Coturnix japonica: one gene and its partner. The protein of the gene in region 2 binds, or shares a complex with, the protein of the main gene of each other region. Links are inferred from orthologs where the notes say so. Each region holds a gene or a part of one and is shown on either strand. Other genes may lie near its edges. The genes, in order: MCM3 and GINS4.

Region 1 (6,878 bases), on a different chromosome or scaffold from region 2:
GTCGTTCATTCTTCAGAGCAGAAGGTGAGTGGATCACGTTCTCCATCATCCTGATGGGGAGAAGATGGAGCCAGGGTTTTAAGATACGTATAGTGATGGGAGAAGAGGTGACATGGATCATGGGAAGTTCTGTTTGAACAGCCTCATCTCACTCCCACAGCATCAGCCTCAGCTGCCTCTGCTCTGCCTCTCCACACCTATCAGCAAGATGTTGATGTCTCCTCGGATGCGGCTCCCATTCTCCAGGACCTTCTCCACCCCTCCAAGAAGCATGCACAGAATGGCCTTCTTGATGAACTCGTGCCCGTGGATGCTGGGTGCCAGGGACCTCGCCAGCTGGTTAAAGATATCCTAAGGCAGAAGAGGCAAAGCACAGCCTGTAAGTGGACCGAAGAACAAGTTCACAAGCCCATTACAGCACCAGAAAAGGAACTTATTCCTATCACAGAACTACACTGACAGAGGTTATTTAGATGGGAGAATACTGTTGGAATATTCTTTCCATGGGGGCTCTGAAGTCCTAGACCACCTCGCAAGCACTGGAAGCAGCAACCCCCACAAGAACAAAGATCTGAACACAGGACCAGACTGGGGGGCAGGCCCCCATTCCCTCCCCCAACCAAAAGAACTGGCATTTTGCTTTGTTTCCTTTCAGAAATCCAGGCTGTCATCTAATTCCGTTCTTAGGTTTGAGGAGGAAAAGTAGAACGTTGCAGAGGAGCTTCTCTAACAACCAGCGAGCAGTCAGGGCACACACAGCCCAGACAGAGCTCCATTTCAACAGCTACGCACAACAGAGCAGAGCCATCAGAAACTCTGCTACAGCTACATGTAATACATATGTATACATACATATATCACAGAAATTGACAAAAAGCTACGTAGAAAATGCAGGGAAAGCAAGAGGAAAATCATGGAAGGCGAGCTTAGAAATAAGACCTACATAAATACCTTGGAGCGATTCTTACTGAACCTCTTGATCTTGGCCACGTCAGTCGCAGAGTAGAGAGGCCGAGAATCTTTGCTCATCTGCTTGATATGGCAGGCAATGAGGATAGTCCTGGAATAGCGACACAGCTACAATGATGTTTGTGAAGCTCATAGAGCTTTCAGGGTCATCATAACAACAGCAGAAGTTTCATAGAACCATAGAATGGTTTGTGTTGGAAGGGATCTTTAAGATCACCCAGTTTCAACCTCCTGCTATATGCAGGGGCACCTCCCTCGAGACCAGGTTGCTCACAGCCCCATCCAACCTGCCCTATGTTTCATCTTAGAGGGATGGGACCCTGCTAAAAAGGGGTGTCAAGGCTGATGTTGTCCTTGAAGCCAGCAGAAGGCTCACCTGAACGTCCCTGATGTGTAACCTCCTTTCTTTCCTGGCAGGCAACGATAAGTCCCAACCACTTGAATGCGATCTCCAGGCTTCACTTTGTCCACCAGATCATCATCCAGAATGACATCCACCGAGCGTGGCAGCTGCCCTGCTGGTGCCTTCTCAGGCATCTCCTGGATGGAGATGGTCTGATGGTCCTTGTAGACTGAGAGGCCAAACTCTGTCTCCAGGGGGTTATTCTCCTCATCCTTAAGGAAGAAGGCACAGCAATAAAGAGATTAGCAGCACTGGGAAGAGAGCATCACCCAACACACACATGAGCACTGCAAAGGGCTGCTTTACCTGGACTACCAGATCCTGCAGTTCACCAGCAATACAGCTCCCCCTGATCTAATGCTGCCAGCATCAAGCACTGCCACATTAGAACCCTCCAAGCACTGCTCCCAATGCAGGCAGGCCATGCAAAAGAATGCACGTTCAACAGACATAGCTTAGGTCAAGCTTCCTCCATTCCCAAGCACAGGGCAATCCCTGCACACAATGGTCCACATACCCTCCAGACAGCAACCATGGGATGCTGGAATGGTTTGCATTGGAAGAAACCCTAAAGACAATCTAGTTTCAATCCCCTTGCCACATACAAGCATGCCAACCAACAGCTGATCATGTTGCCTGCTGAGCCAGCATATTCTCCCCAGAGGAACATGCAGATATTCCCCATATGAGGCCGCTTCACCTCACCTTTGTAGGGTAAACAGAGCTGGAAGGGAAAGCATCCAGGGATGTCAGGTCTGTGTATCGGCGCTCAATGGTCTTCTTGGTAGCTGGGCAATAATGGACGCTCCGGACAACCTTGGGACGAATCAGAGAGCCTGGGTTTGGAAGAAAGAAGAGTTAGGGGCAGAAAAGTCCCACTTGTTTGTCACCATGAAACCCCAAAAAGATATCCACTATATGCACAGGACAAAAGTGCTGATAACCAGAGTGCCAAGGACTGCAGCTCCCAACATTCAAGTCCACTGTTACCATCACTCCACTTGTCCTCCCATTGGTTCTGGAGGACTCCTGCTGTACCAAACACCCCGACCCTCTGCTCCTCACACCACCCAGCATCCCAACCTGCCCCCAGGCTCACACTTTGTCACGATGCCCTCCACACAAACAATGCAGCTCAGGAAGCAGGCGGTCAGCGTCCGTGGTGAGACGTGCTTGGAACCAAAGCTGCCCTCCAGCCCAATGTAGAAGTCCTCATACTGCTTGGCATAGGTGGCATCAACAGAGGCAACAAAGTCCTTCAGAGCACGCTGGAAGGCGATGAGCTCCTCAAAGGCATTGCTCAAAAGCCTGCAACAGAGGGAGGTGATGGCTGAGAGCTGCATCTTGTTGGCAACCCTGTTTGGCAGCTCTAAGAAATCCCTTCCAGATGCCTCGGTGTGCTCTGAAAGAACACTGAGAATCCCACAGCTCATGGAGACCAAGAGCCTGAAGGTGAACAAACCCAATTACATCTGAAACACCTAACAGGGGATCATTAAGGTTGGAAATACCTCTACAGTCACCCAGCCCAACCCCCCTGTGCCCACTGTGTCCTTCAGTGCCACATCCCCATGGTGGGGTCACCATCCATGGGGGTGCTCCATAACCACCTCCCTGGGCAGCTGTGCCACTGCATCACTGCTCCTCATGACAAGAGATTGTTCCTAATATCCAACCCAGACCTCCAACTCGCAGCTGTCACATCTCAACTTGTACTTAAACCATTTGCAAGTCTCTTGCAAAAAGACCCCAGAACCCTAAAGCTGAGACGCCTCACACCATGCAAACACCCGAATTTTACTGTAAGGATTCAAACAAACAGGATTTGCTCTATCAATGGGCTGCAAGCTCGTAAGGGCTGGCTGGCTGGCACAACAGCACCCCCCCCCCCCCCCCCCCGTACCGGCTGGCTCTTTTCTCGTTCCTCCTCCGCAGGTCGTTGATGTTGACCAGGAGGCGGTACTGGTTGTCGCTGATCATGTCGCGCACTTTGCCGTGGTAAACTCCTTGATCTTCCTGCACACATAGGTAACAACACAACCCTCAGTTTCACATGAGCCGTGTAAAGCCATTTCCATTTATTCCCTGGGGAATAAGCAGCCCCAGCGCCATGGCTCCTGTTGGGGGGTTTGGGGGGGAAGCGATGACCACCCCCGGTTATAAGGGGAGGCTGCATCCCGCAATACACGCCGCTGCTCACCTCATCGTCCAGGAAATCCAGGTAATCGCGCTGCGCTTCCCGCAGCTCCGCATCGTCCAGCCCGTCCGCTGGGGCTGCCATGCTGCAGGGAGGGGGTAGTAAACAGGTAAGGACCGGGTTGCTCTTTAAAGGGTCCTATAGATCCTATAGATCCCCAGCAGACCCCAAACGCCGGCCCGGATCACAGCAACCTCCACGCTTCTCTTTGGCGCCAAAACCGAGCGCTTTCCCGCCACGGCGGGGGGAGTTCCGCTCCTCATTGGGCGGCGCCGCCGGGCGTCAGCCAATGGGAGGCAAAGGGGAAGTGGCGGGAGTTGACGCGCAGCAGCGGCAGCCAATGGGAGCGGAGGAGGCGGGGCGGGGGCGGGAATGGGGCGTTTGGGGTCTGGGGTCCCGGCTGAGCTTTGGGTGTCAGCAGCGGGATGAGGATCTAAATTAGTGTATTTATTGCTGATTCCTTATTATCACTGGGGTAACACCCCGTTCCAGGTTCAAGCATCTCCCCTGCCCTCCCCCCCCCCACCTTGTAGCTGCAGATAGCAAAGCGGAGACTCCCTATGGGGTAACGGATGTCTTTTCTAAGGGGATCTTAGCAAGGAGAACGTAGGTGGCCATATATGCCATCCCATAAACTGGGAAGGAAGTGCTGTGTGTAAATCCAAAGGGAGCCCCAGCCCATAGCGGCGTTGCGGGGTTCGTCCCGCTGAAGGTATGGCTGTGAACCAAGGGCAGCAGCACGGTAACGAGTTAGGGCTAAAAATAAGCGCCTGTTGTTATTCATGAGCCTGCCCTATAGCAACAGCCTCGGCACGGAGAACGCCGAGTGAATAATTCATTGCTACAGGTCGGGGAAGGCCGAGGATGGAGGCAGCTCTTCCTATGGGGACCTTACAGGGGTAACATTAAACAGGAATCAGGCACCTGAATGCATGTAGAGCAAGGGCTGCAGTGTCTTCCTATGGTCCTGCACCCGATGCTCAGCTCCCCCAGTGCCAACATGATGCTGAGTCGCTCCCTTCTCCTGTCATGCGAAAGCAAAATAAAGCAATGAATAATACTGTGTTTCCAAGGAGGTCTGAATAGCCCAAATATAGATGGCTGGAGGTTTCGCGTTGCTATTTCTGTCTGCTCATCTGTTATCGTGAATTCTGGTTGTTACTAAAGGCAGTGACAGCTGGCTCCTTTTATTCCTGGTTTTCTCCCCTGCTACGAGCCTGGCTATCACCCATCTGCATACAAAGCACTGCTGATCTGCACCCATTAGGGATGGGATCCCACTTACCATGAGTGACCCCTCAGTCACAGGACCCAGCCATACGATGGCCTGGGTTGGAAAGGACCACAATCACCATCTGGTTTTAACCCAATGCTGTGTGTAGGGTCACCAACCAGCAGCCCAGGGGTGGTGCCCCATCCCTGCACACAGCCAAGGTCAGGCTGGATGGGCTGTGAGCACTGCTGGAGCTGTGGGTGTCCCTGTGCAGTGGGACTGATGGCCTTAAAGGGGCCCTTCCAACACATCCCCCCTACCCCTATAATAGGCAATTCTCATCCATTTTACCCCTGTTTTTGGGGTGGGGGACAGGCAGGGAGAGCCCAACCCTGCCCAGCTGAGTCGGAACCTGTTGGGATCAATCTCCGGAGCAAACACAACCACACCTGGGAGGGAATAAAGCGGGTGATTCATTTCAGGGTGTAAAGTACCCCGAGCTTAACAGATCAGAGCATCTGGGGAGGCACGTAGCAGGTCAGGGGGCGAGCAAACAAAGCGATGCCCACAAAGCTTCGGTTGCAAAGCATTTGTAAGACCAGAAGGAGACGGAACAGCCGCTGATCAACCCGAGATCCGGCCGGTGGGGCAGCCCGGGGCGGGGCTGAGCGCATGCGCTCGGTGCCTGGAGGCGGTGGCTGCGGGACACGGCGGTGCGGTGCGGTGAGTGCGGGCGGCTGCGGGGACAGGGAGAGGGGACAGCGAGGAGAACCGCTCCGGGTTCAGTTTGTGTGTCCATGGTGATGGTTTGGGGGTTTTGCTCCCCTGGGGCTGTTTGCTGTGGGTGGGTGTTGGGTTTTTCCTACGTGAGCATCTCGCTTTGCATGGAGGCTGCAGGTGGTTTTATTGTGCGCTGTAGGGTGGAGGTGTAGCTCGGTTGGTGGGTGCTGTGGGATGGTTGGAGATGGGAAAGGAGAGAAGCGAAGTGCAGGTTGCACAGTGAGGTGGTGGTGCTCCGTCCCTGCAGGCAGCCAAGGTCAGGCTGGATGGGCTCTTCCCTTAGCTCTGCTCAAGGGTGCAGTCTCTCTTTGTGCAATCCGGGCTATGTCCAAGTGGTTTTTCAGTTTCTGATGTCCTGGTGTCAGCATAAGTGTTTGTCTGTCTCCTCCGTCATTTGGGGAACTCTGGGAGCCCTGCATTTTGTCCTCATGAGCCCCAGCACTGCTTTTGGTACCCATGCACCTTCCTGGAGGGTTTTGCAGCATTGTGCTGGGATCAGTTGAGGTGAAGATATAAGGAAGAAGCTGTCAATAATAAGGATGGTGAGGCACTGGCACAGGTTGCACAGAGAGGTGGTGGTGCCTCATCCCTGCAGACAGCCAGGGTCAGGCTGGATGGGATCTGAGCACTGATGGAGCTGTGGGTGTCCCTGCTCAGTGCAGACAGTGGCCTTGAAGGGTCCCTTTAACTCAAGCCATTCTATAACGTTCCCTTCCATGCTGGAGGGGCACTTAACTGAGAGATCACTGCAACCTGAAGGGCTGAGGATGGGGACGTGGGTGACTGTGATGCTGCAGTCATGGAAAGGTCATGAGAAAGGACATTTGGATGCCCTGCGGGAGAGGAATGCGGGCTGCGGGGCTGTTTGTGCTCGCTGCTGGGGCAGGGAGGGGACGGCGAGCTGCCAAGTGCACCGCTCAGCTCAGCTCAGCTCCGAGGGGTGCAATGTAGCACAAACAGTTCCTAGAAGCACGGCCCTGCTGAGCCCAACCGCCTTTGCACACTTCCTCCCACCAAGGTGTTGTTTAACGGCCCCTGGCTTGTGGGATTGCTGATTGTATGTATTTACATTGAAGCTGTGCCTGAAGCCGTTGTGTCATTCCATGCACGAAAGGCTGAGCAGCAAACCCAAAGCACAGAAAGAGCGTGTTGTCCTGGAAGCTGTAATTTATGGGTCTGCGTAAGAGATTTGCAAGCTGGTGGCCGTACCTCGTGTCCTTCAGGCGTATGTGCTTTAATCTTCCCCCCAGCAAATCCTCAGCATCCCATATTTGCAGGGGGGGATTGGCCATCTACTCTAGGAGCTTTGCGTGCAG
Region 2 (6,878 bases):
CAGATCGATAGGCAGCAGTTTGAAGAGACTGTCCGGACACTGAATAACCTTTATGCTGAAGCTGAGAAGCTTGGGGGCCAGTCATACCTTGAGGGGTGTCTGGCCTGTCTGACTGCCTATACTATCTTCTTGTGCATGGAAACACATTATGAAAAGGTAGGTTTCTTTTGTTTTCCTTCTTTCTTAGAAAGTGGTATATCCTACAGACTTCAGATGCTTTATTTCCTGGTGGGTTTTCTGTGACTTGTACCTCAGTTGTATGAATTCCATATAGACTCTGGATCTTACTACGGGGTGACTTAACATCTACAGACAAGTCCGTCTGATATATGAGTTACCTGAGCAGTGTAACATTTTCTGTACAGAACAGTTTCTGTCTCTGGTGGGTATCGGTGCTCTCATGCTGGGTTCTCCTAATATTGTTATATCGGTGGTATTGCTGAGCTATGGCTCTAAGACGGGAAAACTTAATTAAGAAATCTAGTTTCATAAATCACAGAATCACAGAATGACCTGGGTTGGAAAGGACCTCAAGGATCATGTAGTTCCAACCCCCCTGCCTAGCAGGGCCACCAAACATACGCCTTTACTAGATCAGGTTGCCCAGGGCCCTGTCCAACCTGGTCATGAACACCTCCAAGGATGGGGCATCCACAGCCTCCCTGGGCAGCCTGTTCCAGGGCCTAACCACTCTCCTAGTGAATAAACTGTGACTTCCCTGCTGTTCTATTATCAGGTTCTAAAGAAAATTGCCAAGTTCATTCAGGAACAGAACGAGAAGATCTATGCTCCTCAGGGCCTCCTTCTGACCGATCCCATTGAAAGAGGACTAAGAGTTGTATCCTTGTGTGGTTTCTAAGATTATTTCTTAATTCTTTAATAATATGGTATCCTCTAGTCATGCTTGATCTGTGATACTGCGAAATACATGATCAGTCTTGTTACTCTCAGGTATGTGCTGTTCTTTGAGCAGATAAGTTTATTTCTGCCCTGTTGTGGAGCTTTTGCTGAGATTTAGGAGGAGATGGCAAGGTTCACAAGCTCTTTGTATGCAGCATCTTGTGTTCTTGTTGTCAGAACAATCCTGAGCTGCCATAGGTCGATCTGATCTGACAAGGCAGGTGAGCTGTTGTGTTTGTTTTGTAGCTCTTGAGTAAGCAGCTATGAAGCAGAAAGATCAAAAGTTCTAATATCATAATGATTTTTTCACTTTCATTTTTGTAAACTTCTTATAGTATATTTTCCTAACAGCCTTTCTACACAGATTGAAATTACCATTTATGAAGACAGAGGCATGAGCAGTGGAAGATAAAACTGTGGAGTCTCAGGTACATATCAGCATTACAGTAGATGCCAATCTCAGCTTCCTTTATGGTGCTCAGAGTGGTAGACTCTTCTGCTGAAACAGAATGTTTATCCAGCTACTGCATGTCATCAATGACTTTTTACTTAAGTCTTGTGTGGTGTAGGTTTTCTGAATGTGTGGTTAATTTCATGCTACTCTCAGTTCAAACAATAACAGATTTGACTTAAACAGTCAAGATTGGAATTTGGTAAAATATACATAAACTGAACTTGCACTGTATCAAGCCCAGAATGGCTTTCTGTATTTGAAGAGTCTTGATTTTTCACAAAGCTTTTCTGGCATAAGTCTCTACCCTTTCTGAGAAGTAATACTTCCTAATTGATGGTGCTTTACTGTTCTTCCTATTATGCTGTGAAAGATGCAGCTTTTCTTGAATGTTTTTAGAGGTACCTAAAAGCTTTTGTGTTTAAAGCATCTATGAAAAGGTCATAACCCATGTTAAGAATCACCTTGTATTTTGCCTGGCAATCAGTTCTAACATGTAACTTCTTTTCTAGCAGACAGCTCAACAGTGGACTTGCTGTATCAGTTCCCCTACCTCCTACTTTAGAGCATCATTCCTCTTTCTGCTGCCAGATCCACAGTGCCATTTTCTACAGGGACTGACTTCCTAAAACTACTCCACGTGGTGTGACCCAGCTGGTCAGCATTCATTTTGTGGCGAATTATTGAGCCTTGAGATCACTTTTAAGTTCCTAAAGGAAACGCAGAAGTGGTGAAGCTGCATATTCTTCTGACAGAACCGCATTAACCCAACAGAAGTTGGCTCTAGTCATGTAAATGTGGTGCCGTTCCTCCCCACTTCTTAAATCTTTCTGATTGGGCTTTGGAAACCTACAAGTCAGAGTGGAATTTTCCAGAAGAAAGGCTTTCCCTCGAGGTCAGTATTGCAGTGAGGGGATACGCAGTGCCTCTTCCCAGTGCAAAATGACTCAAGGCAATGAGCGTTGGAAGCGTCCTGTACTGATTCTTATGGAAAAACTAGAAGGCAAAAAATGTTTCTCGTTTTAATGTTTTGGTTATTCCTAGAAGAGAGGGACTTTATTCCTGGTGTTTTTTCTACTGCTGTGTATGTGCTGTTGTATGTCAGTGCTGAGCAGAAGAGGGAGAGTCTATAAAACAGGAAGTACAATAAAATGGATGCTGAACCAATAAACATAACTCTTCCCCTTCTCTGATTAATACGTGAAGTGTAAAACTGTTTCTTTATGAATTTATTATAACTTATAGGAAAACACTGATTCGACAGAGCTGTTGTGTGGGATGGTCTCATCACTCTTTGCCTGCTGGCGCACTATTGAGCTGTGTGTTATTTCCTCTCTTTTTGCATTGACATTCCTCAGCAATACCTAAAGCACGTTCCTAGGAACCAGGTTTGGGTTCATTCTTTTCTCTTTGCTCTTCTCAAGGAAAAATATGTTCAGAATTGAGCCATGATCCAATTATAGAAGGAATTCAAGAGCTTAGGAATAATATAGGAGAGATGGAGTGTTTTGGCTTTTGGTGGTGCTGTAGGTGCTACTGCGTCTGAAATTCCAGCCTTGTTCCTCAGCCAGTAACTTCTGTTTTGTGGGGTTTTTTGTTTTAATTTAATATTCTAACTGTATAAAACTTGTTTTCTAAGCTGTGGTTGCCTTTCATGTTTGTTGCGATACTGGCAGAAGTACTAATGGATCAGTAAATTTTTTCTTAAACCGTGTCTGTGGCCTGTTCAGTCGCGCTGTTTTGAGGTGTTTTGATGCTAAAAGCACATCCACAAGGCCTAGCAGGGCCGCACTGCTGCACCCCCTACGGCCGCCATTTTGTCATGGCTTGCGCCTGCGCTAGTGCAGAACATCCGGGTCGCGCTGTGCGCCTGCGCAGTGGAGCGGCGGCTTGTTGTAATGGCGGCGGCGGGCGGTGAGGAGCCGGACTCGGACGATGGCAGCGAGGAGCTGGTTCTTACCCCACTGCAGCTCATCCGCAGCCTGGAGCAGGTAGAGCGGGACAGGGATGAGCCCCGAGGGGACTTTTAGACCATCGGCAGCTGGAGCTGTCCGAGGAAGGAGCGGGGAGGATGACGGTCAGGCCTGTGGGCCCGCTGGGCGGGAAGGGGCGATGTGGGGACGGGGTCCCGGTGGTCGGTAGGAACTGTGTGGGCCTTTATCACATCGTGCTTCCTCCTAGGCCTGGATGAACGAGAAGTTTGCCCCCGAGCTGCTGGAGAGCAAACCGGAGATCATTGAGTGCGTGGTGGAGCAGCTGGACCACATGGTGTGTGCTATGGAGGGGGTGCTCTTCTGACTATTTACAATGCTTGTTTGCTGAGCATAGCGTTGGGAAATTCACTTTTTATTTCCCTTGTGAGCTAATCGGGCTTCTTGCTCTCTATTTTTATTGTTTGCTGTTTCAGCCTTTTCAGTTTTCTTTGCCTTTCTTTGCAGGAGGCAAACTTAAAACGGGCAAAGAAAGGAGACCTGAAGGTCAGCATCCACCGCATGGAGATTGAAAGGATCCGTTATGTGCTCAGTAGTTACTTGAGGTGTCGACTTGTGAAGGTAAATACTGTACAGAGCATAGGGAAGCTTTACTTCAGGAGTGATTCCTGTTTTATTATCTACTGCTTTAGCAAGGCACTTTGTTAAAGATCCCCTATCTCACTATCTACAGTGCAACCAAAAGGATTTCATCCCCTGGGCGTGCTTTTCTGTTGTGGAGAATCACAGTATTGCTGTGATGTTCTGTTATAATGGCACGTTTTTTTTTATCTAAGCCAAGGTGCATGATCCTCCTGGGTCCTGTCACATGCACCCATGCAGCTTTAAGACCCCATCTGACTGTATTGTTACTAAGTCAGAAGCAGGTAATTTGGGTAGGCTTGTGTTTACTGCATACACCTGTTCAGGAGAGGATCACTTGTAAGGGTAGTCTCTGGGGGATTTTAGGTACTGAACTACTGGAAAGTTGGGTTTTAATCTTTTTTTTTAATCTCATTTTTCTTCCAATGACAGATAGAGAAGTTTTTCCCACATGTGCTGGAGAAGGAGAAATCTCGAGCCAGAGGGGAGCCTTCCATTCTATCACCAGAGGAGTTTGCCTTTGCTAAGGAGTGAGTGGGCTTTCAGTGCATCTCCCTCCCTTTGCATGGGGTACAGAACTGAACAGCTCTTAAGCGTTAGACAAAGTTGCAGTAAGATTCAGGTGTTCAACGTTCCTTATGGACATGGAGGGGAGTGTAAAGGTGGTAACAGAGGATGGTTTAAAGGTGGCTAATATAAAGATATTGACCAAGATGGTGATAAATAGTCAAAGGTTATTAGTAAAGAAAACTCACCAATGTCGATGCCTGGACCAGATAGCTGAGGCAGACTCCACTGGGGAGCAATCTCCAAGAGATGCTGCCTCAGAGGTGGTCAGCCCTTAAATGAGGTCTCAGAGGGGGTGGAGTCGAAGTCCACCCCTTCCAGGAGCACAGCTCCATTACTCTCACCTGTGCTCCCGCAGCTGACCCAACACTTGCCTCAGCTAATTAATCAGTGGTTCAAGCTGTGATTTCCCATACAAGAGAGCTAAAATGAAACAGTTCTTGTGAGTCTGTGGTATACTTAGCATCTGAGCCAGTTATTTCTGTGGGTTGTTTGTAACTGGATGACCAGGAGGTGTCACCTGTTGGCACTTTTGAGCAAATGCTCTCCAGGCAAATTTGTGTTTGACTTAATCAGTAAATGCTCCAATGTTGGGGGGGTTTGGTGTTTTTTTTTCCCTTCAGGTACATGGCAAACACCGAGACTTATCTGAAGAATGTGGCCCTAAAGCACATGCCACCCAATCTGCAGAAAGTGGCTCTCTTAAAATCAGGTGAGTACAGACAGACTACAGGCAGTCTGGAAAATTATTGCAAATGAGGTATGGAGAAAGCTCTGAGCTCACGCTAGCCACCTCCATCTGCTTTTTTCTTAAGCTGGGGCAATGCAGACTACCTCTGTTATTCCCTTTGTTGGCAATGCATTTGTTGCCCCTAGTACTCCTTTCTTCACTGAGCATTCTGCAGAGGAACATGAGTGAGTGCTGAGTCTGTACTCCAAATCTGTTGTATCTGCAGTCCCGAAACCCAACCTGGACTCTTTTGTGTTCTTGAGAGTGCTGAAGAGACAGGAGAACATCCTGGTTGAGCCAGAGACTGATGAGCAGAGGTAGGTGGTCCTTCCACACCCAGTGCATTTGAACAAGACTTGTTTCCCAGAAGCAGCTTAACACCCTGCACCTGCCTCTTTCAGAGAGTACACCATTGATCTGGAGGAGGGCTCACAGCACCTGATCCGCTACAAGACCATTGCCCCACTGGTGGCCTCAGGAGCAGTGCAGCTCATCTGAACAAGTGGTGAGCACTGAGGTGGGGCTGTGCTGCCTCCTGGGTATGGCCCAGGCCCAGCTGGAAGGTGGCAATGAAGGAGTCTGGGCTGGGTGCCCCACAGGGTGTGGCTTGGAGAGGACTGGCTAAGGGTAGCAGCAGGGCTGGGAGGTGCATCTCTGAAGGCATTCAAAGCATTCAAGTAAGCCAACAAGACATCTTTCCCTCTGCATTTGCAAGGGGCTTATTCCCCTCCTTCCCCCCCACATAAACAAGCTCTTGCTTGCTTATGACACACATTTGGAATTCAGCCAGGCTCTTTTCTCCCACTGTTGCAGAGTGAGGGCAGTCTGTGTCATAGCACTCACTCACAGGGCTTTGGCTGAGCCCTTCCATAGTCTCTTTGGAATCCCAAGGGATGGATGAGCATAGGCAGCATTTCACGATATCTCAGAGTGGTTTGACAGCAGACACGTACAGAGCACATATATCTTCAGAGGTGAATAATGCCTTTGTAAATGCAAGGGTGCACTTTTTTAAGGTGCACCTTACATGTATGTGTTCATTCTTGCCCCAGTTTAGCACTGTAAGATTAGGCTATAAGGTGAAAATTGGCTGATGGAACAGTGTGGTAACTTGTTGGGTAAACTCCACCTTTCCCCATCAGCTTTGATCTCATCACAGCCTGTGCAACTTTGGGTGTTGTGCAAGTGCCCAATTGCTCTGAGCTGAACTGGAGGGATACTTCTGCACCACCTTTGCCACATGATCCATTGAGCAAAAACACACATGAAGGCATTTGCTGGCAGAGCAAATCTTGATTATCACACAAGGAGCAGGAAGGATTGGGAGCAAATTAAGGATGGAAACTACAACTCAGAACAAAGAGAATGTCGTAAGCAAGCAGGGGAGAGCCCTAGGATCATGTGAGAGATGCTTAACTCCAGCTTGTTAGCAGCAGCAGGAAGGGAGGTTGGAGAGTTTACCAAGTTTATCTCTGTCTTTCTCAAGGTATTGCCTGGAAAATGGCCATGAGCTTAGGAATTCAGATTGTCTGCTCTGAAGGATAGTTACACAGGCCAAACAGCAAGTCTCTTTTTCCTTGGAATGTCCCAAGGCAGAATTTACCTTGCAGATGGAATAAACTTTGTTCTGCCTGTGCAGTGTCTTTCCCAGTGTGGA

What was found.
Region 1: GINS4 (region 2) and MCM3 share a complex: the UniProt entries of both Homo sapiens proteins name them as parts of the CMG helicase complex. The link is inferred for Coturnix japonica from reciprocal best matches to the Homo sapiens genes GINS4 and MCM3.

What each region holds. Positions count from the first base shown.
Region 1 is NC_029518.1:98,088,996-98,095,873, reverse strand, and holds the start of MCM3 (DNA replication licensing factor MCM3), read right to left. Parts: upstream 3,837-6,878; 5' UTR 3,654-3,836; coding exon 3,573-3,653; intron 3,389-3,572; coding exon 3,276-3,388; intron 2,681-3,275; coding exon 2,472-2,680; intron 2,209-2,471; coding exon 2,078-2,208; intron 1,585-2,077; coding exon 1,346-1,584; intron 1,061-1,345; coding exon 952-1,060; intron 352-951; coding exon 198-351; intron 1-197. UniProt on the Homo sapiens protein: Acts as a component of the MCM2-7 complex (MCM complex) which is the replicative helicase essential for 'once per cell cycle' DNA replication initiation and elongation in eukaryotic cells.
Region 2 is NC_029537.1:3,955,698-3,962,575, forward strand, and holds the start of GINS4 (DNA replication complex GINS protein SLD5), read left to right. Parts: upstream 1-3,205; 5' UTR 3,206-3,249; coding exon 3,250-3,342; intron 3,343-3,532; coding exon 3,533-3,619; intron 3,620-3,789; coding exon 3,790-3,903; intron 3,904-4,356; coding exon 4,357-4,454; intron 4,455-5,114; coding exon 5,115-5,203; intron 5,204-5,447; coding exon 5,448-5,538; intron 5,539-5,622; coding exon 5,623-5,719; 3' UTR 5,720-5,726; intron 5,727-6,707; exon of another isoform or gene 6,708-6,878. Other genes in the region: GOLGA7 (golgin subfamily A member 7), read left to right, coding at 4-156, 737-838, 1,265-1,312. UniProt on the Homo sapiens protein: Required for correct functioning of the GINS complex, a complex that plays an essential role in the initiation of DNA replication, and progression of DNA replication forks.